Linked DNA regions of Coturnix japonica. The protein of the gene in region 6 interacts with the protein of the main gene of each other region in a biochemical or structural test. Links are inferred from orthologs where the notes say so. Each region holds a gene or a part of one and is shown on either strand. Other genes may lie near its edges.

Region 1 (4,010 bases), on a different chromosome or scaffold from region 6:
TGGGGGCAGCTGTGAGCAACGGGCCCCACGCCGCCCCCCCCCGCCCCACCGTGCCCCCCAACCCCTCACCTTGTAGTCGGGCAGCTTGGCCATGGCCGGCCACTGCTCCTCCGTGGGGGTGCCCAGCAGCGTGCGGGGCTGTCAAGGGCCACGGGGAGCTGCGGGACTCTGCCCTCACCCCCCCACACCAACAGCACCCAAAGGATATCGGAAGATCCTCTTCAGCTGGTCGTCCACGTCGTTCCCTGGGAAGAGCGGCCGCCCCGCGTTGGCCAGCTCTGCACAGGGATGGATGGGGTGAGCCCCGATGGGGTGAGCCCCGATGGCCGCCCCAGGCGTCCCACAGCCCCCCCGGCCCCACAGCTACCTGCAAAGATGCATCCAGCCGACCACATGTCGATGGAGGTGGAGTAGAGCTTGGCACCAAACAGCACGTCCGGGGGTCGGTACCACAGCGTGACAACCTGCGTGGGGCACAGGGGATGCTCGGGAGGAGCGGGCAATGCCGGGACCCCCATGTGCATCCCAGCAGCCCCCTCCTCACCTCTGCTGAGTAGCAGCGCACCGGGATGCCAAAGGCCCGTGCCAGGCCAAAGTCTGCCAGCTTCAGCTCCCCGTTCTGCAGAGAGAGAAAGGGGTCAGGGGCTGAGGGAGCACCCAGCGGACCCCAAGGGGCACAGGGGGGGGGTAACATGGTGCCCCTGCCCCCAGCCCAGCACTCACCCTGTTAATGAGCAGGTTCTGCGGCTTCAGGTCCCTGTGCAGGACGTTGCGGCTGTGGCAGAACGCGAGGCCCTTCAGCAGCTGGTACATGAAGGACTGTGGGAGAGCACAGCCCACAGTCAGCACAGCACCACTGCCAGCACCAGCCACAGCGACAGCAGCACAGCAACACAGAACAGGCTGGAAGGGACCCCAAGGATCACAAAGCTCCAACCCCCCCCCACAGGCAGGGCCACCAACCTCCACATTGATACCAGCCCAGGCTGCCCAGGGCCCCATCCAACCTGGCCTTCAACACCTCCAGGGATGGACGGGGCATCCACAGCCTCTGGGCAGCTGTTCCAGCACCTCCCCACTCTCACAGTACACAACTTCCCCCTGACATCCACCCTCAATCCGCCCTCCTTCAGCTTAAATCCATTTCCCCTTGTCCTGTCACTGCCTTCCCTTGTGAAAGGTCGATTCCCCTCCTGTTTCTAATCCCCTTTAAACACTGTCAGGCTGCACTGAGCTCACCCCGCAGCCTTCCCTTCTCTTCTCCATGCTGAACAAGCCCAGCTCCCTCAGCCTGTCTTTGTCGTGGAGGTGCTGCAGCCTCTGAGCATCTTTGTGGCCTCCTCTGGACCCTCTCCAACAGCTCCCTGTCTTTCCTGTATTGGGGGCCCCAGCTCTGGACGCAGCACTGCAGATGGGGCCTCAGAGGGCAGAGCAGAGAGGGATGTGGCCACACACACACACACACACACACACACACACACACACACACACCTTCACGATCTCAGGGTCCAGATCCCCGTTGCAGCTGTCGAAGTATTTCTTGAGGTCCTGCAGGGGGCGGTGCTGCCATCAGGGCACGGACGGGGTTGGGTTTATGGGGGGGGGGTGTCATTAGGGCCGGATCCGCGCTCACCTGGTCGCAGAACTCAAAGACCAGAGTCAGCTTCTTGTCGCTGTGCAGCACGTCGTGCAGCCTGGGGGGGCGGCACCAAAGGGTCGGTACCGGGCGGGGAGCACCAACAGCAGCACATAGAGCACATAGAGCACATAGAGCACATAGAGCACACAGAGCACATAGAGCACATAGAGCACATAGAGCACATAGAGCACACACAGCACATAGAGCACATAGAGCACATAGAGCACATACAGCACATAGAGCACATAGAGCACATAGAGCACATAGAGCACATAGCACATAGAGCCCATACAGCACATAGAGCACATAGAGCACACACAGCACATAGAGCACATAGAGCACATAGAGCACAATAGAGCACGATAGAGCACATAGAGCAACATAGAGCACATAGACGCACATAGAAGCACACACAGCACATTAGAGGCAAACATTTAGAGCACACAGAGCAACATAGAGCAGCACAGAGCAACATAGAGCAGCACAGAGCACATAGAGCCACAACAGCACATAGAGCAACAATAGAGGCACACCTAGAGCCACATAGGAGCACACACAGCACATAGAGCACATAGAGCACATAGAGCACACACAGCACATAGCACACACAGCCCATATCACACACCGGACTCACCTGACGATGTTCTTGTGCTTGAGCTCCTTGAGCAGGCAGATCTCCCGCAGTGCAGAGCTGGGCACCCCCTGCACGGCGGCACCGCACGGCTCGGACCGGCCCCGAGCAGCCCCGTGTGCACCGGGCACAACCGGACCGGGCACAACCGGACCGAGCCGAACCGAACCGAACTGAACCGACCCGACCCGGCCCGTCGCTGATCCCGGTGCCGATCCCGGCCCTCACCTCGTCGTCATCGTCCAGCCGCACCCGCTTCAGCGCCACGATCTCGTGCGTCTCCCGGTTCTTGGCCTTGAACACGGTTCCGTACGTACCTACGGACGGACGGCTCAGCCCAGCGGCCCCACACCGGACCCGCCCCGCCCCGCCCCGGTCCGGTCCCGTCGCACCTTCCCCGATCTTCTCCAGTTTCTCGTATTTCTGCATGGTCCCGTTCGGTCCCCTTCGGTTCCGTCCCGTTCGGTTCCGCTCCGGTCCCGGTGCCGGCCCCGCCCCCGCCCTCGTATCCCCGCCCCTTCCGCCGCCCCTCCCGGCAGCCCCTCCACTTCCGTCCCGCCTCCCGGAAGTACCGGCTCTTCCGCCACGCCGCCGAGCGGCCCCGCCCCCTTTAGCCCCGCCCCTTTTGTCCCCGCCCCCCGCTCCTTGTGCCGCGGGTTCGATCCCCGCCGCCGCCGGGCGGTTCCGGGTGCGGTTCCGGGTTCGGTGTCCGCTCCCGGCTGCGCTTCCGGCTCCCGGCCCGCCCGCTCCGCCCGGAGTCCCGGTAAGAGCCGCTCGGTCGGTGCCGCCGCTCCGCGGGCACAACACGGCGCACAGCGCACGGCGGGGCGGCACCGGGCAGCGGGTACCGGGCAGCGCTTCCGCGCTTTGCGGGCACCGGGGGCGCCCCCCCGCCCTGATCCCACGTTCCCGCTCGGTGCCCGGCCCCGTTACAGCGGCGGGTGGGGCCGGGGGCGGCGCTGCGGACACGGCACCGCTACCGACACCGGCCGCCCCGCCCGGACCGGGCCGTGCCCCGCAACCCGCCCCGCTGCCGCCCGGACCCCCCCCGCCGCCCCCCCCCGCCCGTAGGAGTGGCCGGGAGCAGCCCCGGGGCTGCAGCGCCGCGGGGATGGAACAAAGCGCCGCGCCACGATCCGCCGCCCCGAGCCCGAGAGCGCCGCTATAACGGCCCCGGGGCGAACGGGCACGGACGGAGCGGCGGGACGCGGCGGTGGAAGCGCCGGACGGAACGGGGCCATGGGGTGAGTGGGGCCGGGCCCAGGGGCCGCTCCCGTGGGGCCGCTCCCGTGTCCCCGTGGGGCCGCTCGGTCCCGCGGTGGCGCAGCGCGGCTCCGTGATTCATTTCCTGCCCCCGACGGCTCCGGGGTCACGGCGGGGCGGCACCGGGAGTTTGGGCCGCGGGTTCCGAAGTTGCGGCTCGAACCCGCCGGGATGAAACCGGGGGCGGCCCCGCCCCCCGAACCGCGGTTACGGACACGGGACGGGGCGGCGGCGGCACCGGGACCGAGCGGAACCGCGGCTGAACGGGGGGGGAGGAGGGATGGAGGGATGGAGGGATGGAGGGATGGAGGATGGATGAGCTCCGTGCCTGCGCCTGGCGGGCAGATGTGGGGCAGCTGTGGGGCAGCTGTGGGGCTCTCGGCCGCTCCCAGCCTCCTGGCACCGATGTGTGCAACACAACAGCGTGAGCCTGGGGCGTGTGTGCGGTGCTGGAGAGACGGACGGTGCTCACGGGGG
Region 2 (3,500 bases), on a different chromosome or scaffold from region 6:
TTTACATGTTAATATAACATAATGACTTTGTACAAGTAGAAGTATTCATTTATGCTTCTTCTCCAATAAAGTAGTACAAACAGGTTGCCATAAAAAAAGTTACAAAATATTTACTGTACTATTTAGTTTGCAGTTCTAGCTTAATACTTTCAAATAGCAGAAATACAGATCACAGTATAGTGCGGGTTGGAAGGGACCTTAAAAGATCATCGAGTCCAACCCCCGGGATTCGAGCCTCCTGTGTAGCAGAGCAGCACTTCTAACACTTGCACCACAGGGGGGGGATTCGAACCCAGGCCTCCGGTGTTGCAACGCAGCATTCCTACCACTGCGCCACTGTCACTGGCAAGTATGTAGCAGGTTTGCCTATTTTAGTATTTCAGAAACAAACAAACAAAAAAATCTTACTTTTCAAAGTAGAAAACCAATAATTTTCACTTATTCTACTCCAATGGTGCTGAAATCAGCAGGTGGAGACAACTCTGCCCATTACAAGAGGACTGGAACTAAATTATCTTTAAGATCCCTTCCAACCCAAGCCAGTGACTCTAGGAGAGAAAAAAAAAAAAACCTCATACCTTTTCTTTGCAGCTGGAAAGCATGCTAATAATGCTAAGACAAACAGATTGCACTGAGAGAGCTGGAGACCAGTCTTCTGTTAGAATGGACAAACAGATATGACCATTGCTATAAACATGTGGATGAACAGGAATATTGTCACCAGTAAACATGACCTAAAAAAAAAGAAAAAACCACCAAAATGTAATCTATTGTTCAACTTTTAAATAAAAACTATGCAGATTTTGTAAAAAAAAAAAAAATAAATAAAAAAGCAGGTTCTGACATTATCATTTACAAGAAATAACATAATATACCATATTACATTCATTCATTTTTTGAGCTGTTAGTCAAAATGTAAAATGAAATGACAAAAGCCTTGTGAAGGTGAAGTAGCACAAATGGCCAAATGCAGTTTTTTTCCTGTGAATAGTTACAAAACACAAAGAACATAAAAGCAACAGATGTAGCAAACTCTTAAATCTTGCATCTTCAGTTTTTTTAAAACATCCTATTTACATCCTACAGCTGCCTATTAGGAAGGTTAGATTCACAAATTAGTATTTCTTTGGACACAATAGGATATAAATTCTAGACAACTCAAGAAGAGTTAAACACACTAATCCTATTAACTAGAACATAAAGGACTCTTACAACCATACTGCATTATCACATTGGAAATATTTTAAATTGTTATTTAAGTGGAATTTTCTTTTAACAGAAGCAAACAACAGAGAACAGCACTGAGAATCTCAACTTCTCTCTATTAAAAAATAAAGGTTAGAAAATCAATTTTGACAATTACTGCTCTTACAATAAGTTTGACAAAAACGTAAGGTCAGCTCAGGACCAATGAAAAGGGAGTAAAAACCAAAATCCTCACAGCAGCATTATCCTCCTGAGCTCCTTATTCAACATAAGCACCGTAATCTTTTATAAAATGACATAATAAATCTCTACCACTCAAATCACAACATCTTCTTAAGATTTTCTCAGTTCAGGTACGTGTACACACACCTCACCTCATTACTGACTACCAGAAAGAAGTTTCAGCTTCATCACAAATGAGGTGAGAAAGCTCAAGCTACTTTCCAAATGGCATGCAATTTTTTTAATGACAGCAGAGAAAAGTGGATGCAGAATGATCTTTGTCTGGTATTTCTTACGCACTGAAAAGCTTACCTCTGTAACTTAGTATTTAATTTCTAACTAATGTTTCCATTATACAAGAAAACCAGGACTAGTTAAGCATGCATGCTTAACAGACAACACTCAAGGCAGAAAACAATCAAGTGATTGAACAGGAGAAACAAATTGTCAATTCAGAGGAAGTAGATTTATAGGAGAAAGAATTACAAATCAAGAGCTTTAAAGCAGAGAATTATTGTACAGCAGCATGATAAAAAATTTTAGCCACAACAAGAACTAAATATCCAGTGCTTTAATTCTTAACTGCCTTTTATGCTTGCAAGGAAATAAATACATTTGTCTTTGTGTACTGATTTAGATTGCTGTTTTACAATAATTTTTACACAGTCACATGCGCATGTTAGATAAAGAGTACAAACAGTACCCACTTGGAATCAAAACAAAGTGGGTCTTATGGATCACCTATGAGAAGCTTACTGCAAACCTGATAAAATGCAGATGGGAATGGAATGTGCCAGTTTGTTCCTTAAAACCTGAGACTGAAGAACAAGCATTTCTAGTTTTCACCTTAATCCTTACAGATACATATTTTTACAGTTTATGTGACTGCCGCAGCTCACTCCTTGCTGGAGCTTCAACAGCCATGAGAAAAGCAGAGATGACTCTTCAAACTTTGAGCTGAAACAGGGCCAGAACTAAAGCACTCTTGTTTCTTCTTTCTTTCATTTTCAGGAGAGCTGAAGGGATAACTTAACACCTGCTTTCCTCCTCCAAGCCTAACTTCTCTCAGGTAATGGACAGATGGATGTACAGAGCTCATTCCACACCCTAGTAGTAATGTTGACCCTCCAGTACTTAATGTTGCCATGAAAGCAGTAGCTCACACCTTAATTATAACCACTAGATTTGCAGACCTCTCAGAGATGCCAGGTGTTCATGAGAATTCCTACCACATGAACAGTATTTTGACAGCCATATTAACAATGGCAGTAGAGAAGGTAGAAGAGGTTAAGAAAGGACATAGAAGCTGAAGAGGAGACTAAAGAATTGTTTGTTGTTCACTCGTGTGCAGCAACAAAAGGAACCATCCTACTATTCTGTGTTGTTCTTTCATAGTGTATAAAGAAACCTCAAGAATACACCATTCTTTCATCTTCCATGAAATTAAGTGGACTGTAGTAGGCACTACATCTCACTTGTTTCAATTTATGTTAAACATATTGTGCAGGTGTGCTTTTTCTAGAGACAACTAAACCTCACCTTAGGATATACAAATGGCATTAGTATTCAGCATGTACCACACAATTATTACTTAGAGACAGAATTAAGTAGGAAGGAGGAAAGCAGATACCTGAGGCGAATCAAAAGGATATCGGCTACTGAACTTAAATAGAAGCTGAAATTTCTCCCCTTCATATAGCGTTCCTGGAGCACCTTCCATGTCTACAATCCACCTAAGAATGGAGAAACAAAATAGTATTATGGACTAAAAGATGATTATTTTACTTCTTGAGCACAGGACAAATAAAATCAACTGCCATGCAGCCAATCTTCCAAACTCTCCATTAGCAAAGCTATTACAGAAGTGAATAATGCATCAAGCCCACATTTGAAAGAAACAAGCTTGGTATTTCATATACAGACACTGCCATAGCACTGCAAATTATTATGACTTGAACTCATCACAGACTCATCAATTCCCTGTTATGTGAGACACAGCTGACATAGAAGACTTCCAAAGACTATTCTTATACAAAAATAGGCTTGGAATAAAATAGAGTAGCAGGCATTCT
Region 3 (4,260 bases), on a different chromosome or scaffold from region 6:
CCCCAGAATGCTGAGTCTCCCTTCCTGCCCTGATTACTCATCACTGCACATCACAACGCTGCCAGAGTGCTTGGCCCAACCAGCACTGCAGGCAGATTTTAAGCAGCTGCTACTACTTTTCCCCCATTCTTTGCTGCGTGGATTTCATTCTAAGCTTGTTCTGTTGTTAAGGGCTCAATTAATGAAATTCTAATGACGTTAGTCACAAAAGGTCAGAGGAAAGTTGGGAGCCGAGAGCATCCAAGAGGAACTCTGCTGTTCCTCTTGGTTAAAGGTCAGAAAAGGAACTGGGTTCATCTGTGTGCAGCTCCCAGAGCAGGACATAGAGTAACACAATCATTGAATCCTTAGGAGTCGGAAGGGACCTCTCACTGCCATCTGGCCCAACACGCCTGCAATGCACAGGAACACCAAAGGCTCCTATCAGGTTGCTGAGGACCCGATCCAGCCTCACCTTGGTAGTCTCCAAGGATGGAACCACGTATCTGAGCAATCTGTTTCAGGTTCACTACCCTCACTGTAAGAGATTTTTGGAAAAGACTTTAAAATCAAGCCCAATCATCAACCTATCACCACCAAGCCCACTGTCCAAGAGGAATGAACAACTGAACCATAGAATCACCGAATGCCTTCGGTTGGAAGGGACCTTAAAGATCACTGGGCTCCAACCCCTACTGTGGTTCAGTGCCCCCCAGCTCAAGCTGCCCAGGGCCCATCCATGGCTTCGGCCACCTCCAGGGATGGGTACCCACAGCTCTGCACAGCAGCACCAGCGCCTCACTGCTCTTATTACTGCAAAAAAACCCCAAATCTTTTACCTTACATCAGCTTCAAATCTCCACCTGTTACTATGAACCGACAGAAATATTTTATCAAAGATAACGCCACTCTGGAAAACGGGCAAGAGGAGGTGTTCGAGGCCAGGTTAGATGAGGCCCTGGGCAACCTGATCTAGTATTAAATGTGGAGGTTGGTGGCCCTGCCTATGGTGGATTTGTGATGCTTGAGGTCCCTTTTAACTGTCCCCACAGCAGCAGCCAGGCTGGGTCAGTTCACCTCTAGCATCCTTCATGCAGAACAGAGGGGATGCCCACAGCTCACAGCCTAAATTCTGCCCACAGAATTTACTATCTACACCGCAGAACAAGGTGTAAAACAATGCTATCAGTCTAATGAATTGAGAATCGCCGGGGGGGAGAGGGGGAAGGAGAACAACATCACGAGGCATTTTGTTACACTGCAGGTCAGGAAACTGTAGCGTGAAAGCTGTGATTGTGTCGGGCATTAAATGCCAGCTATGTTTCCAGGAGCACAATGCAGCTCTTACACAGAGGGGGGGCAGCGAGATGGAAAATGGGTGGTATGGATGGAGACATTGGGAGCTGGAAGCTGTACAGCAGGACTGGGCCATTCTCCCTGTCCTGCTGGAGGATGGGAAGGTGGAGAAAAGATTACAGCTGCTGCTAAACGAACTGGCTCAACCCATACCCTGAGGGTCAGTCCGAAGGGAAAAGGAGCTACTCAGACCCTTCTGCCACTCAGAAATAGGCTTTAACTCCTGTTAATTAACGAGCACGTTTGCACCGAGTGTCTCGGAATGAAGGCGCAGCTGTAGTTGAACAGATTTAATCCGATGGGTGTTAGGAAGACAACCTGCAGGCTCAACCTGCACCGAGCAAAGTGGGAGCAAAGCCTCAGCGGTACGTAACAGAATACAGCAATGCCGAAGGAAAACCACGCCACTTGTTGCTGCTGGAGATGCTGTTGCTTCTGGACGGTGCTCCAGAAGCACTGAAGTCAGCCTCAGTGCTGTTGGGATCCAAGTTCGGATCCTGTCCAGCAATCCTATTATTAATGAGGAGCGCTTTGCTAAATCGGGCACAGGCGGACAGTGCAGCCACTGCCTGCGCTCAGCCCTAACGGCGGCTGCATTCCTGGCTCCATTTCCCATGGCATTACACGGACACAGCGCTCGGATGGAAGCGCACTCAGGATTTCACAGCATCGCTGGAGTTGGAACTGCCCCTTAAAGGCCATTAGGTCCAACTACCCCTCAATGAACAGAGACACACACAGGTGCTCACTGCCCCGTTCTCTGACCTCGGGTGCTCGCAGGGACGGCCCCCCACGGCATCCCTTTTGGAGGCAAAGGAAAGCAGGGCACAACGGCCGATTTTCCGAGCGGGACGGCGGATTCTTTCCCTCTGACACTTGGCAGCCTCGGAGCGCCGCATTCTTGCTCCGCTTTCTCACCGCGCTCCAACCCCGACCCGAGCCAAGGTCCTCCCCCCTGGCTCCACGCACCCTCGCCCCTTACCCTGCCCGCAGGCTCCGCGCTGGATGGCGATGATGGGCGGCTGCCGGAGCCTCTCTGCGCGGCGGCTGGCGGCCCGCAGCTGGCAGGGGCTGGCGTAGGTCACGGCGTCGCTCCCGCACACGGGCTCGGAGCTGGCGCACACGCATCGCCCGACGGCCGCCCGCTTCCTCACCGTGCCCGAAGCGGGCACCCCTCCGCCGGGCGGCACCGAGCAGCGCAGCCCTTCCCCGCACTGCGGGCCGCCCTCGCTGCCCCCGCACGGCTCTCCCTCCTCCGCCCCGCACACGCGGCAGCAGCCGCACGAGTCCAGCACGGGACCGCCGGGACAGGAGGAGGGAACCGGGGGGCAGCGGGAGCGATCGCAGCGTTCGGGGCAGGCGGGCGGCGGGGGGGCGGCGAGCAGCAGAGCTGGCAGCAGGGAGAGCAGCAGAGCGCTAAGACACCACGGCGGCAGCATCGCGGCGGTGGCGACGGAGAGAGGCGGCGGAGCGGGATTTAAGCGGCGGAACGAGGGCGGCGCGGGGGGCGGAGCGGCCAAGGGGACAGCCCAGGGGTGTCGAGACCCCTCCGGTCGGGGTTTAGTGGATGGAGGGGGATGTGCGTTATTTGGGTGTTAGGAAGGATTCAATGGGGAATGAGCGGGCAGCCCTGGGAGTGCGGGATGTGCCGCCCCACCAGGAGCAGCGATGTGGCACTGAGAGACATGGTGGGCGGGCACGGAGGGGTCGGACTTGGGGGTCTGAGATGTCTTTACAGCCTTCATGGCTCTGTGCTCGTAGCCCCCCCGTTTACACCCTCGTATTACAAATACCACCGCAAAACACGGGGGGGGAAGGGACGGGTGGATGGACGATGCTTACCGGACTGCCCGGTTATCCGAGGGCACAGAAGCACCGTCTGCTGCGCTGCAATCAGAGCCGCTCACAGCTGTCCTGCGCTCCCTACGTGGCAACAAAAGAGGTTTCAGGAGGAATTATTGCAGAAACGACCACAAATAATAATATGCCACAATGCACAAACGCCCCGACCTGCATCGTTAAAGTTGTTGTCAATTATAAAGAATGGTTTGAAAATGTCCACGCATTGATTTTTCTTCAAAATTACATATATAGGAGTTGGACTCAGCGATCCTTGATAAGACTCTTCCAAATAGGGATCTTCTATGATACGTAGCATAGATATTATAGCAACATTTCTCCCAGCTGTTGCTTATGTATCCATTACTTATCGGCTGCTTTTGACCAGCTCCCAATTTGATATAAAGACAAGCTCTGAGATGAGCACTTATCAGCACAAATATGTAAGAAATTCAAGTGTGGAGTGACCGCATCAGCTCCGATCTGCCCCAGCAGTGCATTCCTCGAGCCGCCCCACCCAGACATCGTGCATGGCATCGCCTATGCCAGATAACTCACAGTGGCTCTTTGAAGCCTCAGCTGCTGCAGGACCGACAGGGTTACGGTGTGAGAGCTCTTCCATCTCCTGCTCTTCCAAAGGAGCACCTGGGTTCCAGAGCTGGGCTTTGCTGATGGCTGGGTTAGTAGCAGGAATGCGGTGCAGGGAGTGGGTTGGATTCTTAACAGGTGTGCTCACAGATATGCAGAATTACAGTGCTGATGGACGTTTCAAATGCAAAGGCCTTAATTAAAAAGTCAAAAGTATCACTTTGCAGAGCAGAATACCACTGCTGCTCCATTAATTACCTTTACCAACGAGTTCCAGTTGCTTTCTTATATTTTCCTCCCAGAGAGGCAGCACAGCAAAGCCAAAGCAAAAATCCAGGGCAGACATTTGGAACACGATTCAGCTCCAGAGCAGCCCTCATTACTTCAGTGGAACATCCCCAAAGTGATGCAGCCACTCACTGGCATCAGAGCTGCACTGACTGTGCTCCAAAGCACAGCTGGGAATGACAAGGCTACAAGCATCTGATAGCACTGAAA
Region 4 (4,120 bases), on a different chromosome or scaffold from region 6:
CCCAGAGGTAACTCATGTGACACAGCTGGGCGAGCCCACGGTGTTCTTCCCAGCAAAGATTAAGGAGCAGCTGAAGCTCAGGATGACACCAAGGCCAACCTCGAGGTGAGGTCATGAAGGTTCTATGGGTAATTGTGGCACGTCGCACCCATAGGACAGGGCTGGGGGCATCAGAAAACTTCCCCAGTTACCAAGTCACTGCTGAATTAATGGGGAAAGAAACAGGCCCGTGCTGACCTCCTGCAATTTGTTTCTCAGCCCCTCTTGGTTGTTCAAAGATGTGCAAAAGCTGTTGGCTCCAAATAACACTGTGATAGAAAAGCTTCCCAGTGGTTCCCAGCAGAGGACAGCAAATCCCAACTGCACAGCATTCCTCCTGTGCTGTGTACAGGAACCAGCACAATCCCACCTTGCCAAGCACCATCCATCCCATAACAAAGCCCCCGTCCCCCTCAGTCCGCTCTAACCCATCCCTTCCTGAGCAGCTGAGACTCCCACAGTATGGGCTGGTTTGGGTACTGGTGTTTTGCTAGTCGAGAAAACTTTGGAGGGATTTTTCTTGCTTTTTTCTGTGTAGATATGAAAACATCAAGTTTAGCATTATGGGGCTCACAGAAGCATCCCAGGACCCCACCCTGCATACACTCAGCGAAGTGGGGAAGGAAAACTCTGGTCCCCATTCACATCCTGCAGTGCAGACAGAGCCCCAGTAAAGGCAGGGAGTTTGGGGATTCCTCTGGGACAGCAGGAGATGCTTTGCCCAACATCCAGGAAAGAGGACACACTTCTTCCCTCTTCTTTTCACCCTGTTATGCTGTGAGGTTCTGCTTGGGTACTGACAATGGGCTGCAATGGATTTGCCCTCACTAAGAGTCACCAGCACCCTCACACCCACCAGTGTAAACAAAGTGAGATCTGACTCTTCTGCTCGCTTTCCCTGTAGGTACCTTTGTCCAAGTAACTGATTAACAGCAGCTCTGCTGCTCCCTGGTTCCGGGAAGTCCCGGGAAGTCCCAGATGGCTGCTGCCTCACAACACAGAGCTGGACACAGTGCTCTGGCTGTACCACCCAGCTCCATTCCCCCATGAGACAGCATCAGCTGCTACAGCTCTGCCCAGAGCTCAGTGTTTGTTTCAGCAGTGCCCAACTCTTCAGCTCTCAGATATTCAGGCATTTCCCTCTTCCTGCCAACCACATCCATCCCCCAAGCTCTGACCCGAGGACATCCCCACCTGCAGGACACCCTCAGGGCTGAGCCAGACACGACTCTCCCTGCTGCCTGTCGGGGTGACCGCAGGAGGCACAGGGCCATTCTTCAAGCAGCCCTTCAGGGTGACCGAGCAACATACAAACTACCTTCATCGCACACACAAAGACCCTCATCAGACCAGAGGGTGCTGAGGCACCTCTCACCATCAGCCCTCGCTGCTCCCCCAGGCCCCACTCACCAGACAGAACCGTAGGCCCCAGAGCCCACAGGGTGCAGGGACGTGTACCTCCTGGGCAGCTCCCAGATGGTTCTGTTCAGCTCCTGTCTGTAGAAGCCTCTTCTCCTTGCGATGTTCATCGCCCGGTGGCTGCGGGACTGCCACCCACCCAGGGTCCCGGCGGCTGGCGGCGCCCCTGGGGTGCAACCGGGATGCCCTGCGCTGCTGAGAAGGGCTACAGTGAGCTGCCTTGTCTGCTTTCAGCTGTTGTGAGCAAGAAGGGACATGTCTCACAGCCCTCCTCCCTCCGCCTCCACATGGCGGAGATGAGGCATCAGGTTTCCAGACACGCCTTGGCTGTGTGCAGGTATTTCTGGGTGCTCCGATAGACGCCACAACGCAGACACACCTGCAGCTGCATGTGGGACTGCGAGAAGAGACGCCCCACAAGTGCCACATGGGGCTGACGGGGGTCTCGTGAGATCGCCGATGGGGTGAGTAAGGGCGCATCAGGAAACCGAGGTCACACCTGGTCACCGTGCCACAGTGCCGAGTCAGCCCTGCAGGGACCTGCTGGGAGAGGAGAGCTCCAGGACAGACACTGGGGTGTTACATTCACCGAAGAGCAAGAGAGCAGCCAGAATTTCCTCCACAGTTTCCCAGCACACGGCGCAGAGAAGGCTGTCTGAGCTTCCCTTCATCTACGAGACTGCAGTGAGATGCTCAGGAGTTGCTCTGAGATGGGATCATCCTGGGAGCTGCAGGTGTTGGGGTCTGAGGGGTCCGGCCTCGTTTCTGCAGCAGTCAGTCCCGCCGCGCAGCGCCCAGCCCACCCTGCTGAGCACAGACCTCACACTCTGATTTGACTTCAGTGGAGCTCCGAGGGTTTACCCTCCCTCTGGAGGAAGTGACTAAGCTCTGCCTGAGGAGCCACGCTCTGCCAACACTCAGCTTTGCTCCATCCTCTGCCCTACAGGTGGGACTTACAGAAATGCACTACTGCAGTTTTAGGGAGGTTTCCTTTTATCTGCTTACATGCAACCACCACACCATGCTTTAAAATTGGCACAGGTGTTCTCCAGGTAGCAGTGGTAGGGCCTGCAGTTCTATAAAGCACATCAGGGTCTGCGTGCTGGCAGCATTTCAGTTTTACTTATGCACACACGTACAAACCAACCCTGGCTCTAGCAACAGCATAGTAAGGAAACAAAGCAGAATGGGCTGGGTTCTATAAATACATCCGTGAGCAAGAGGAGTTACAGCCAGAAGTGCTGCGGCAGAAACAAATGTAACTCATCTGTCACCTGGTGAGCACGGAGAATTGTTGCTCAACTGCACGCACGTGGCTGCCAGCACCTGTCCAGGAGCTGTGAGTATCTGGGGCACAGCTATTGGAAGAGGAGTTAATTTAAGATTTCCTGTTTTCTTTGAATTAGTCTAAGTCACTTTTCCCTAATTTCTCACCGATTTTAGTGTCGTTTGCTAACTAACATAAACTGCAACCAAACACAACTCAGGAATGTGGAAGGTTTGGGATTCTTCTCCCCAGAAAAACTGACAAATTCCATCCAGGATTCTTTCTGACCATTTGATTCTTTCTCTCCATTTGCACCACAGCAAACACCTTTCTCTTTCCCTGTGTGCCTCTTCAAACCAACCTCCGTGCAGTGCTGCAGGGGGAGCAGCACAAGCTGCAGCTCCATCACAGCCAGCACTGCAGCTTCTGTTGGTGTGATGAACGCAGCTCTATTCAGTTACCCCTGATTGCCCTTCTGACTGAACAGTGCTGGACAAACAGCAGTCAGAAAACCACCATTATGGCAAGTCACAACGCCTGCTCCCACCACCGACTGGATGGCAGCTGGAGACAGAAACCCACCCATTTCTAAGCAGCAGACAGCTGCAAATCTCTGCTACCAGGGAAAAGTCCCAGGTCAAGGCAAGGAGCAGAATGCTCATTTATTGTGTACACTATATACACAGCCTACACGTACTTTCACTGTACAGCAGTCATGCAGACTCCAGGCCAGGTTTGTACCTGGGGGGGGGGGGAGGCAAATGGGCATGGGCCTGCAGTTGGGCCGCACTGCACACCCCTCCACCACGCGGGATTCTGTACGACGAGAGAGGAATTCATCTCACATCAAAATCACACCTTTAGCCAAAGGGGTCAGAAGAACCATCAGCACAGCAGATCTGAAAAATAGGTTTTATTTTTAACCAGTGGTATTGTGACATCTTATCCGGCATAACCAACTTCAACAAAACTCACGGATAGAAAGAAAATAGCAGATCTGTTCTTTGAAGTGCATCCTCCTGTTCAGGCTGCAGGCAGCTGAACAGCACCGCACTGCAGGCAGGAGCTCCCTCAAGCAGGGCTGTGAATGAAAGCTTCCCACTCGCACACAGATGCACAATGTCTATATTAATAAAAATCTTGAGCAGTATTTCCGCATGGAATCACACTTGTAGCATCTACACATAAAATGGCTGATAAAAATCATCCTGCTGTAGGTTTACAGAGTCTATCTACATTTATTTTTTTTTTTCCGTTTGAATACTCGGACTGCTTGTCCAGCAGGGAGGTTTTGTCGCTATTTTGTTGGTCTGAACTGAGCGTTATCACAGAGCACGAAGTCCCTCTTCACCTCACCCCAGCCTTCAGTTTGACCTGAAGAGATCACTGGAAAGT
Region 5 (2,450 bases), on a different chromosome or scaffold from region 6:
AACACAACATCCAGTCATTCCTTGAGAATACCCCCAGGGTCGGTGACTCCACCACCTCCCTGGGCAGTCCATTCCAGTGCCTGACCACCCTTTCTTAGAAGTAATATTTCCTAATGTCCAGCCTGAATCTCCCCTGCTGCAGCTTGAAACCATTCCCTCTGGTCCACGATGACATATGTACTGTCAGTTCTGTATGAAAAATGACAGTGAACAGCTCATCTCCTGGAGCCCAGAGGAGGCACAGTCTGGTCCAACACCAAGATGTGAAGTACTAAGGTTTGCTTACGTTATATATTGCAAGGCTGCCTAAAGATATGTAGAAGAGTGGCACGTGAGCCTAAGCCATATAAATCACTTGATTTAGTGTACCACATGAGATTACCCTTGTCAAGGAGTGTGTTTGTACCCCAAATCATGCTATTCCAAAGCAAGCTACCTGCTGCTTTATTTCACTACTGCTTTCTTTCCCCCCGAGGATGCAAAGCACCAACAAGCTTTAATTGCGCCACCAATGACACTTATGTGCCAGCAAAAGAAGCCTTTTATGCACATTAGAACTACAATTGCACTCAAGGAATGAAGTATGTTTTCAGCGTTGAGAGGAAAAAAGAAAATCCACCTTAATAAATGCATAAAAATAAGGTGGTGGACCCTGCTGTACATAGATAGATACACTTGTAAGACATTTTTTTGTACTTCCTATAAGCAGTACTCTTGGAGCAAGAGAAGCTAACCTAAGACAGTGCTTAAAAAGATTTGGAAATAGTAAAAAATGTGCCATAATTAAACAGATATATTGAGCAAAAATCTGTCCTTAAAAGTTAATTTCAATAAAATCTGAGCACCTCTTATTAATCCAGCACCAGTAAACTTTGTCCAGATTCCCTGAGATGAACAGAGCTGCACTATTAGCTTTAAATTTGCCTTTTTGAACCTGTTGCATATACACACTGGATGGTTTGATCCCAGTGTTTCTGCCAGCTCCTGATCTAACATGGTAGTTTTCTCCCTTCTGCGGCGAGAATTAAAGAATGTCATGTAAGTAGCAACCTACTTAGATTTTAGATGAAAATACAGTTTTTTTGTCAGCATTGAAGCAAAACAAGGAATCTGTTTTTTCCCTATAGCATTTATATCTCTGCACATATCCACGCTGCGATGAGAAACTTTCCTGTTAACGACGGTAAGAAGTTCTGTGAACTCCAAGGACGAGCCGTGCTTCCTGAGGGCCTCACACAAATCTTGAATGTACCAGGAGCCGTTTATGGTTTCACGGTGAGAAAAGTAACCTATTGCAGAACAGGAAAATACGATTATATTTAGTTGTAAGTAGCCACTGCCACTGAAAAACATTCACGAGGGTTGCTCCTTGCTACCTTCACCTAATGGAGTTACTACTGGATGTAAATCTTACCATGTCAAGTTATGCAGTTTCACTGGAAACAGCAGAAGGAAATGGTTTTCATGTCACTTACCATGTCTAGCCAAGAGGAACACAGTTTAGGAACTGGTAGCTTATTGTCCACAGGACTGTCTGCAATTTGCATGGCAGCAGATGGGACTGAGGACAAGACAGATGACGGACTGGAAAGTACAGCCACACAGTATGGGGGAACAGATAAACCTCTCAAATACCAGTCTTGGAGAAAAGGGGAATGATTGCTGTCAGCAGACAGCTCAGCAACAAGATTATGAAGAGAATGATTCTGTCTGGCAAATTAACTGCAATTTTGAACGTTTGTTTTTACTTTTTCCCCTAACATATGGGGCTCCTTCCCAGATGTCACTTAACAGGGAGCAAAACAGATGACATGGAACTGTACTCATTATTTTGACTGCAAAATGAGGAAGCGTTCAAGCTTGTTCTAATGAAATATCAGACAGACAGACATAAAATAGAACTCTACCTTGTGCCACAGAATAGCACATAATAAAGTCCGCACCAGCCGGCAGGGTATAGACGCCAGCTGCATCCACTTCAGTCTGGTTAACAGTGGTTTCATCTTTGCTGTCTACTGAATCCTGGACAAGAACTGGATCATCATGTTTATCACCTCGACATGCCTGTTGGGGAGAGAAGGATGGTTATACTTTCACCTCTGTGAAGCTAATCTGTGTTACCACAATGCTTTTAAACAAAGAGGACTCCTGTTATGTTTTACATTAACCATATGTGTAGATTCATAAAGACACATCTCTATCAATTAAAATATTGGTAATGAAATCCAATAAAAACTTAGGGTCAGCTATAACAGGTTGTTCAGGACTACGTCCACTTGGCTTCTGACTGTCTCCAAGGTCACATGACATCTTTCAGTGTTTGCTCACCTACCCAGTAAGAAATGTTTTCTTGTGTTGAGATGTTCTATGTGTTAGTTTGTGCCCACCATGCACGACTGAAGAGATCCTGGCTTCCTCTTCATTCCCACTCCTCCTACCAGGTATTCATA
Region 6 (3,500 bases):
AAGGAAATAAAGCCCACAAATGGATTAATGAAAGAAATTCCTTCTGTTGGATCAGAAACTGGGTGACCCCAAGCAAGGCATCCCCAGCCCACGGTTGGTTTCAGGCTCTGATGACAGCGACAGCAAGCCATGCTGATGCCCTGCAGTACTTATGCAAAGCTTTCTGATGCCTTGGATCCCTGGAAGCTGGGAAACGGCTCTTTCATGGAGAAAGAAAAGGTTTAAGAGCTGCTCTGCCAGCAGGGATGTCTGTGCTTTGATGGGAGGATGGAAACCTTCCCCATGGACAGCCAGAACTGAGACCTGCTGCACAAACAGCACCCAGGGCTCTGGGTGCTCACAGAGGAGGATTTCCAGCCCAGGAACACACACATACACTGTTAGATGTGCCTGAGAGTGTCCACACACACAACACCCTGCAGAACACCCAGCACAGCCATTGCATCGGAGCATCCACAGATCCAGAGCTGGGATCAAAGCATGATGCTGTGTAAGAGCTTCAGGTGTGCTCTGCAAAGGACCAACGTGGGTCCCAAGGTCTGAACTCCCTCCTCCCTCCTCTTTAGGGAAGCTGATGCAAAGAGTTATTGCACTGGACAGTGGACACATGCAAAACAAGTGGCATGTGCCCTGCTGGGACAAGCAGCATCGTGCTGGGTTAGCCCCGATCCAACATGCCACAGCATCCATCTAGAATCTGTCTCCTCTGGGAAGCTGCCAGGTGTGAGTTAAAGAGCCCAAAGATCCAAAGGAATTGAAATTAAAAGAAATCATAAAGGAAAAAAGAAAGAAAAAAAGCGTGATTGGGAACACACCAGCACCATGCAAGGGATGCAAAACCAAAGCACGGAGGTCTGACAATGATGCCAGGACATCCAAGATTAAAGGAGGGAGAGGGGGAAGCGGCGGAGCTTCGTAGATCAGTTCACAGCAAAGGTCCAGGCCATGTCCCAAGCACTGCAATTCAGGAGGAGGCAGCAAGCTGGAAGTGCTGCTTCAAGCAGCTTCATGGTGAGCAATGCACCAGCAAGGTGAGCTCCAGGCAGGCAAATGGTGCACACACCTTTCAGGAGAGGAACACGACTGACTGCTTTATCTGCAGCACCTGGTTTCTTCTTGGGCGTCCGGCACCCTCCTGCACCCAGCACCTCTTCCACTGCAGCATCTCTGTCTTCTCTCCCATCCTTTAACCCATCAGGGGGTTCAGTTGCTTCCACTAATGGTCCAGCATCCCCTCCTGCCCCTTCTGTTTGGGTCTCAGAAGGTTCTGATGAGGTGACATCTGTGTATGGTTCTTCCCCCTGCAGATGCTGTCTCTTTTCTTGGTCTTCTGCTTTACGTGCTTCAGATTCAACAAGGAATACCTCCCTCTCTGTGTCTCTGAGGACATCCCTGGACTTGCTTTCTCCTTCCTCTTTAAGAGCTTCTTTGGTTGTTTTGGGGCCTGGAGAAACGTGCTGTCCCACCAGGCCAAGCAAATCCTGCTGAGAAGCTTCATCCATATCACGGTCCACATCTCCGGTGTCCTCTTTTAGTGGGGTTCCAGTAGGAGTTGGCCCATCTGCAGTATGGGAGGCATCAGTTCCACCTGCTCCTGCCAGCCCCGTGCTGCACACATCACCCAGCTCTGGATCCACGCCGATGCCTTCTCTGCCCCCACGATCCCACAGCTCACGGCTGGCTTCAGCTGCTCTGACATCTTGGTACATATCCAGGGGGATTGGGATAGTGACCTCAATCCTGGTGGGAGCTGTGGCTGCAGCCTTTGTTTCTTGTGGCTCCCGAGGAACACCAGCTACCTGCTCCATGGGCTGGCTGCCCCTTTGAACCACATCTCCCATATGCTCCTTATGGCCAGGCTGCAACTTTGGAGAGCTGGGCTCCCCTGGAGCTGAAGATGAAGTGTATGAAGCGTGGGCAGACAGTGAGTACAAGCACAGAGAGGTGGTCAATCACACAGTGCAGAAGGGAAACTCAGGGTTTGTACTATCAATATGAGAATTCAGCAGACAAAGAATGGGTTTTAAAGGAACTCTGACCTCCATGGGAACTGGAAAGAGGGTCAGGCAAAGGTGGGAAGGCCAAAGTGTTGCCTGGACCCCATATCAGAGGTGGCTGAAGGGTCCCTGTGTGTCACACCTGCATTGCCAGGCATTGGCTTTGGAGGTATTCAGGAATACATCCAGCTTCCCATCCACCTCCACATCATTTCTGGTTCTTATGAGCCCAGGGAGCAGCACTCCCCTGTCTGCTCCCATATTGCCATGTCCTTAACAGCAGCCAGGCAGAGCCCTGGTAGGAAGGACTGTAAGTAAACTATGGCTGTAACTACACAACCACAGCAGCTCTGGACTGTGTGCCCACTCAGCCTAATTAGTGCTCCAGCACTGCTGCCATCATTTGGGCACAGGGGAAAGAAAGAGTGACATTTAAAACCCAAAACACACAGTCACACAGACACGGATCTTTTGTTGTTTTAGGGTAAAAGAGGCAATTCATTTCCCCATATCTGACAGCTGAAAGATCCCAGGCCAAGGCAGAAAACCATCATTAAAGATCTGGGGAGAAACAGCAGCTGGAAGCAGACTGGAAAAGACAGACAGGAGGGATAACACACTCCATCCCGCTAACAACCTCGGTTTCCCTTTTAGTAGCATCACTATTTTGAATGCAGAAGAGCTGCTAGCCTGAGAACCACCATCAAATGCTTGATGTTCATTGCAGGGAGCAGCGTGTGTCACTGTGCTGAGTGTGAAAAGCAAAGACCTCGATTCACTCTGAGCTGAGAAAGCAAAGAGCTGCACAGACAGGGATGACTGTACACAGCAGCCGTGAGGAGGAGAGACACTGCACAACCCCAACAGAAAACCACCTTACTAAATGGGCTTTTAATTGCCCTTATAACTAACACACAAAACTGGTGCTGTCACGAGACACTGCACAACCCCAACAGAAAACCACCTTACTAAATGGGCTTTTAATTGCCCTTATAACTAACACACAAAACTGCTGCTGTCACTTACAGATGTGAGCGAGACAGCTGTGTTACAATGACTGCCCACCCTGCCTGGCTTTGTCAGACACTCCTGAGATGCAAAGAGAGCCCACCCTAAATGAGACATGGTACATAGAGTCAGATAGCTCAGTCCTTTCATGTGGGACATGCAGGGTTCCAAAGTGACCTGCAACATTGAGCAGCACCTCCTGGCAAACTACACCATCCTGGCTCTGTTTATTTATGACCTTTTGTAGCCCGGAGGATGCTCTGTTTTGCCACTGGGCAAACAAGCATCAGCCATCTGAGAGAGAAACTGATGAATGAGGAGCTGCCTGAAATGAGCGTGTTGGGGACATTCAAAGTGTGTGTGACCCTCCTGCCAGCAACAGGGAGAGCTGTACAACCACCCAGTTGCATTACAAAAGTAAACTCCCAATCCCCCCCCATCCCCCCCAGGAGCAGCAACCAGACCCCAGTGACAGAAGCCCGACCAACCTTGAGC
Region 7 (3,500 bases), on a different chromosome or scaffold from region 6:
ACTGTATCACTCTTAAAACAGGTTCTTATAAACATTCTGAAATGACACAAACAATGTTATTCTAGGATCAACATTATATCTCTGAAAGTCAGCTGATTACAGAACAGCAGCCTAGGTCAGGGTATTTAAAGATCTGATTATCACCAACCCAAACTGCATTTCAACCAAATAAATATTATTAAAGTTTCTATTGAATTTCAAGGCTATATAATAAAAATCCTGCCTGGCCGAAGGTCTGTTTTGTCTCAAAACTATGTGCTTTATTACTGCTTGTAAACATAGATCTGCGCTGTGGGTATTTCAGCTTTGACTTGCAAAGAACTTGAGAACGGTGGTGAGGTGACGGATTTCTTGAAAACCTGACAGAGTTCCACACATCTTCCAAAACTGCTTCCCTTCTCCATCTCTTCCTGGAAGATTTATAGTTCTAGAGAAACATTCTCTTGCTTCTCAAGTGTTTCCTCTCTGTTGCCAATGAGTCTGCAACCAATACACACTAGCTGAGTAGAAGTTTACCTGATTCTTACCAGAGGAAGAGTGGTAAAGGTAGCATATGCAGCGCTGATACTGTATCAGCCTCAGCTCTGCTGCTAAGTCCCTGGCCAGCACACTATTGGATGCTCCGGGAAAAGTATGCATGGGAACCATGAGTGCATCTATGGCTGGGGCTGACCAAGTAATTTTAAGACAAAGCACAAAGAAAAAACACTTTCCCCCAAGACAACATTATCTTTCTGCCTTTTAAAAGCTCCTCCTAAGTAAGTACTTCTAATTCTAGTTATGTATTTTTAGAAGTGCTCGCACAAATGCAATGGCTGTTTATTTCCAGACCAACTACTAAATATATACTCCAAGTGTAATTTTAGGTCCGCACATTTAAAGTAAGTTTGTACTGCCTCTCCCACTTGCATTAGTGTACTGACTACTCCCCACATCATCACTGTTTTAGTACTGACTCAAAACACCCCTGTCCCATGTAACATTTACTTCCATGCAACCTGCTTACTATGCTGCTCCCTGTGAAGCTGCTATGCAACATCACTCTCCAAGGACAAAAAGGAATTTTAAAAGAACTAGAAAATGCCATGATATTAAAATGAGAGTAAAATTACATCTGAAGAGAAACTGCAATTGCTGAAAATACAGAGAAAAGTACTATAAAATGAAAACGTACTTCCTAAAACTGAATCGTGACATTGTGAGGAGAGAGGAGTAATCTCTCAATATCTCGTGGTGGTTAAGCTCTTATCACTATGTCCTCTAGATGAGGATGGATCCAACACAATTAATGAATACCCAAATGGAAGTCATCACTCACTATTCTCTTCTGTGCAGATTATACTCAAGTTAAAACTACTCATATTAAGTCACAAAACAGTAACAGCTTGAAAGAAGCAGACACAGCTCAGCAAATGCATGCTTCCTTGCACAGGTAGCATCCATGGCAGGAGGCAGAAGTCACACCAACACAAATATAAAGCTGCTTAAATGGGATTTCATCTCTGGAACTCTATCCACTGCTGCACAGCTATGCACAGAAAGATAAAGCAAAGGTCACTGGCGATTAACTCATGCAAATACTATTTTCAAAGCATGTATTTATCTTCTGTTCTACTTTCAACTATGGTAAGCAGGTGTTACTTATGCTTATGGTACTGCTTGCTGCTGTTATTCCTTCTTTTTTTCCCCAAAGAATTCCTCGAAGTTGAAGATATTTATGATCTTGTCCAGCTTTCTCCATGTTCTGAATTTATTATCTGATCCAAACGAGTGGGAGCACTTTGCACTTTGAAATGCTCTTAGATTATAGTCTTCAGTTAGTTGCAATTCACTAACATGTACTCAGGCTATGTTGTTTCTGGGATGCTTCCTATGGTTTTGTTTTGGGGAGTGGGGGGGAATGAGTTGTTTATTCATTTTCAGTAAGATTTCTGGTCCCCTAAAGTAGGATATAACTATCATGAAAGTTAAAAGAAGCCTTAAGCAGTGACTATATTTCATCCTTGATCTAAACCATAGAATGGCTTGGGTCAGAAGGGACCTCAAGGATCAAGGCTCCAAATCCCCCACCACAGGCAGGGCTGCCAACCTCCATATCTAATACTTGACCAGGTTGCCCAGGGCTCCATCCAACCTGGCCTTGAACACCTCCAGGGACAGGGCATCCACAACCTCTCTGGGCAGCTGTGCCAGCACCTCACTACTTTCCTGGTAAAGAGCTTCCCCGATATCTAGCCTAAATCTTCCCTCCTTCAACTTAATACCATTACCCCTTGTTCTGCCATTATCTACCCTTGTAAATAGTTGACCCCCCTCCTGTCTGTAAGCTCCCTTTAGGTACTGGAAGGCTGCAATGATGTCACCCCACAGACTTCTCCAGGCTGAGCAAGCCCAGCTCCCTCAGCTGGGATAACACTTGTAATTTATTTATTTATTTATTTGAATGAAAAAGGTTAAATTACTTACTTCCAAGCTGCCTCGTTTGATTGGATTCAGTACTAGTAGCTTCTTAAGTAGGTTTTCACAGTCTGTGGACATATAGAACGGAATACGATACTTCCCCCTCAGTACTCGCTCCCTCAGTTCCTTTAAAATAAATTTTTAAAAGATGAACCTACAAATGACACAGAAAACTTAAAAGAAGAAAAGCCTTATTTCATATTATAAGCCTACCTTTAGATTCTGACCATCAAATGGCAATGATCCGCTTACTAGTGTGTACAATATCACTCCAAGACTCCACACATCCACTTCAGGACCATCGTATTTCTTCCCTTGGAAAAGTTCAGGAGCAGCATAAGGTGGGCTTCCACAAAATGTGTCCAGTTTATTACCAACTGTAAATTCATTACTAAACCCAAAGTCTGCAATTTTAATGTTCATATCTGAATCAAGTAGAAGGTTTTCTGCCTAAGAGCAAAATAAAAGAGGAGAAAGACAAGCTATGTATAAGATCAATATATCGCAGCATATCATTTAACAAATGCAAAATTGCTTCCCCTTCTGTATCTTTCTTGCATTAAGAAAGGAACTAATCCTCCATCATACATAACTAAGGTTGAAAATGGACTACATTTACCCAGGAAAATGGAACTGATAAGTGTCATATTGAAGCACCCGGACTTCTCAAAACAGCAGGAGAAGAATAAAGTGAATTTCCTCAAGCGCATGGGTGCTATGCAGTGTCTGCAGGAGAACCACACAGTTTACTCATCTGTGGCCAGGCTCCTGATGGAGACATCAACAGCACAACTGCCCAGAAACTAAGAAGTGCAGGAATCTCTTTTTCAGCAGATCAGACATGAGCCAAAGTGCAGCATTCTCCTAATTACCACATGTCAGCTTTATCGCTAACACTGAATTCTCTCATCAAATACTGTGCTCATTTGAGTCCCCTTTCAAACAGATTATCTTTCCTTTCATTCAGAGAAGGAAACAATCAGAAAAACGACCAGCACAGATCTCCTGGCTTAGCATCTCTGAACTTGTTTACTTTACTA

The links.
Region 1: of the proteins of MAPT (region 6) and CDK5, one has a biochemical effect on the other in vitro, tested with the Homo sapiens proteins (10 studies listed by BioGRID and IntAct, with this or other methods). The link is inferred for Coturnix japonica from reciprocal best matches to the Homo sapiens genes MAPT and CDK5.
Region 2: the proteins of MAPT (region 6) and UBE2W are reported together in a solved structure, tested with the Homo sapiens proteins (2 studies listed by BioGRID, with this or other methods). The link is inferred for Coturnix japonica from reciprocal best matches to the Homo sapiens genes MAPT and UBE2W.
Region 3: of the proteins of MAPT (region 6) and HTRA1, one has a biochemical effect on the other in vitro, tested with the Homo sapiens proteins (2 studies listed by BioGRID and IntAct, with this or other methods). The link is inferred for Coturnix japonica from reciprocal best matches to the Homo sapiens genes MAPT and HTRA1.
Region 4: of the proteins of MAPT (region 6) and MAPK13, one has a biochemical effect on the other in vitro, tested with the Homo sapiens proteins (2 studies listed by BioGRID). The link is inferred for Coturnix japonica from reciprocal best matches to the Homo sapiens genes MAPT and MAPK13.
Region 5: of the proteins of MAPT (region 6) and CASP6, one has a biochemical effect on the other in vitro, tested with the Homo sapiens proteins (2 studies listed by BioGRID). The link is inferred for Coturnix japonica from reciprocal best matches to the Homo sapiens genes MAPT and CASP6.
Region 7: of the proteins of MAPT (region 6) and MARK1, one has a biochemical effect on the other in vitro, tested with the Homo sapiens proteins (4 studies listed by BioGRID). The link is inferred for Coturnix japonica from reciprocal best matches to the Homo sapiens genes MAPT and MARK1.

The regions. Positions count from the first base shown.
Region 1 is NC_029517.1:280,966-284,975, reverse strand, and holds the start of CDK5 (cyclin-dependent-like kinase 5), read right to left. Parts: upstream 2,801-4,010; 5' UTR 2,700-2,800; coding exon 2,663-2,699; intron 2,588-2,662; coding exon 2,499-2,587; intron 2,342-2,498; coding exon 2,274-2,341; intron 1,695-2,273; coding exon 1,634-1,694; intron 1,549-1,633; coding exon 1,492-1,548; intron 820-1,491; coding exon 724-819; intron 620-723; coding exon 545-619; intron 465-544; coding exon 368-464; intron 279-367; coding exon 209-278; intron 131-208; coding exon 70-130; intron 1-69. UniProt on the Homo sapiens protein: Proline-directed serine/threonine-protein kinase essential for neuronal cell cycle arrest and differentiation and may be involved in apoptotic cell death in neuronal diseases by triggering abortive cell cycle re-entry. Interacts with D1 and D3-type G1 cyclins.
Region 2 is NC_029517.1:106,928,341-106,931,840, forward strand, and holds part of UBE2W (ubiquitin-conjugating enzyme E2 W), read right to left. Parts: intron 3,162-3,500; coding exon 3,059-3,161; intron 735-3,058; coding exon 579-734; intron 1-578. UniProt on the Homo sapiens protein: Accepts ubiquitin from the E1 complex and catalyzes its covalent attachment to other proteins.
Region 3 is NC_029521.1:27,861,002-27,865,261, reverse strand, and holds the start of HTRA1 (serine protease HTRA1), read right to left. Parts: upstream 2,801-4,260; 5' UTR 2,775-2,800; coding exon 2,318-2,774; intron 1-2,317. UniProt on the Homo sapiens protein: Serine protease with a variety of targets, including extracellular matrix proteins such as fibronectin. HTRA1-generated fibronectin fragments further induce synovial cells to up-regulate MMP1 and MMP3 production.
Region 4 is NC_029541.1:545,164-549,283, reverse strand, and holds the start of MAPK13 (mitogen-activated protein kinase 13), read right to left. Parts: upstream 2,801-4,120; 5' UTR 1,569-2,800; coding exon 1,450-1,568; intron 1-1,449. UniProt on the Homo sapiens protein: Serine/threonine kinase which acts as an essential component of the MAP kinase signal transduction pathway.
Region 5 is NC_029519.1:52,199,202-52,201,651, reverse strand, and holds the end of CASP6 (caspase-6), read right to left. Parts: intron 2,065-2,450; coding exon 1,908-2,064; intron 1,290-1,907; coding exon 1,051-1,289; 3' UTR 501-1,050; downstream 1-500.
Region 6 is NC_029542.1:2,383,630-2,387,129, forward strand, and holds part of MAPT (microtubule-associated protein tau), read right to left. Parts: coding exon 3,494-3,500; intron 1,892-3,493; coding exon 1,064-1,891; intron 1-1,063. UniProt on the Homo sapiens protein: Promotes microtubule assembly and stability, and might be involved in the establishment and maintenance of neuronal polarity.
Region 7 is NC_029518.1:16,251,143-16,254,642, forward strand, and holds part of MARK1 (serine/threonine-protein kinase MARK1), read right to left. Parts: intron 2,911-3,500; coding exon 2,674-2,910; intron 2,587-2,673; coding exon 2,467-2,586; intron 1-2,466. UniProt on the Homo sapiens protein: Serine/threonine-protein kinase. Involved in cell polarity and microtubule dynamics regulation. Phosphorylates DCX, MAP2 and MAP4. Phosphorylates the microtubule-associated protein MAPT/TAU.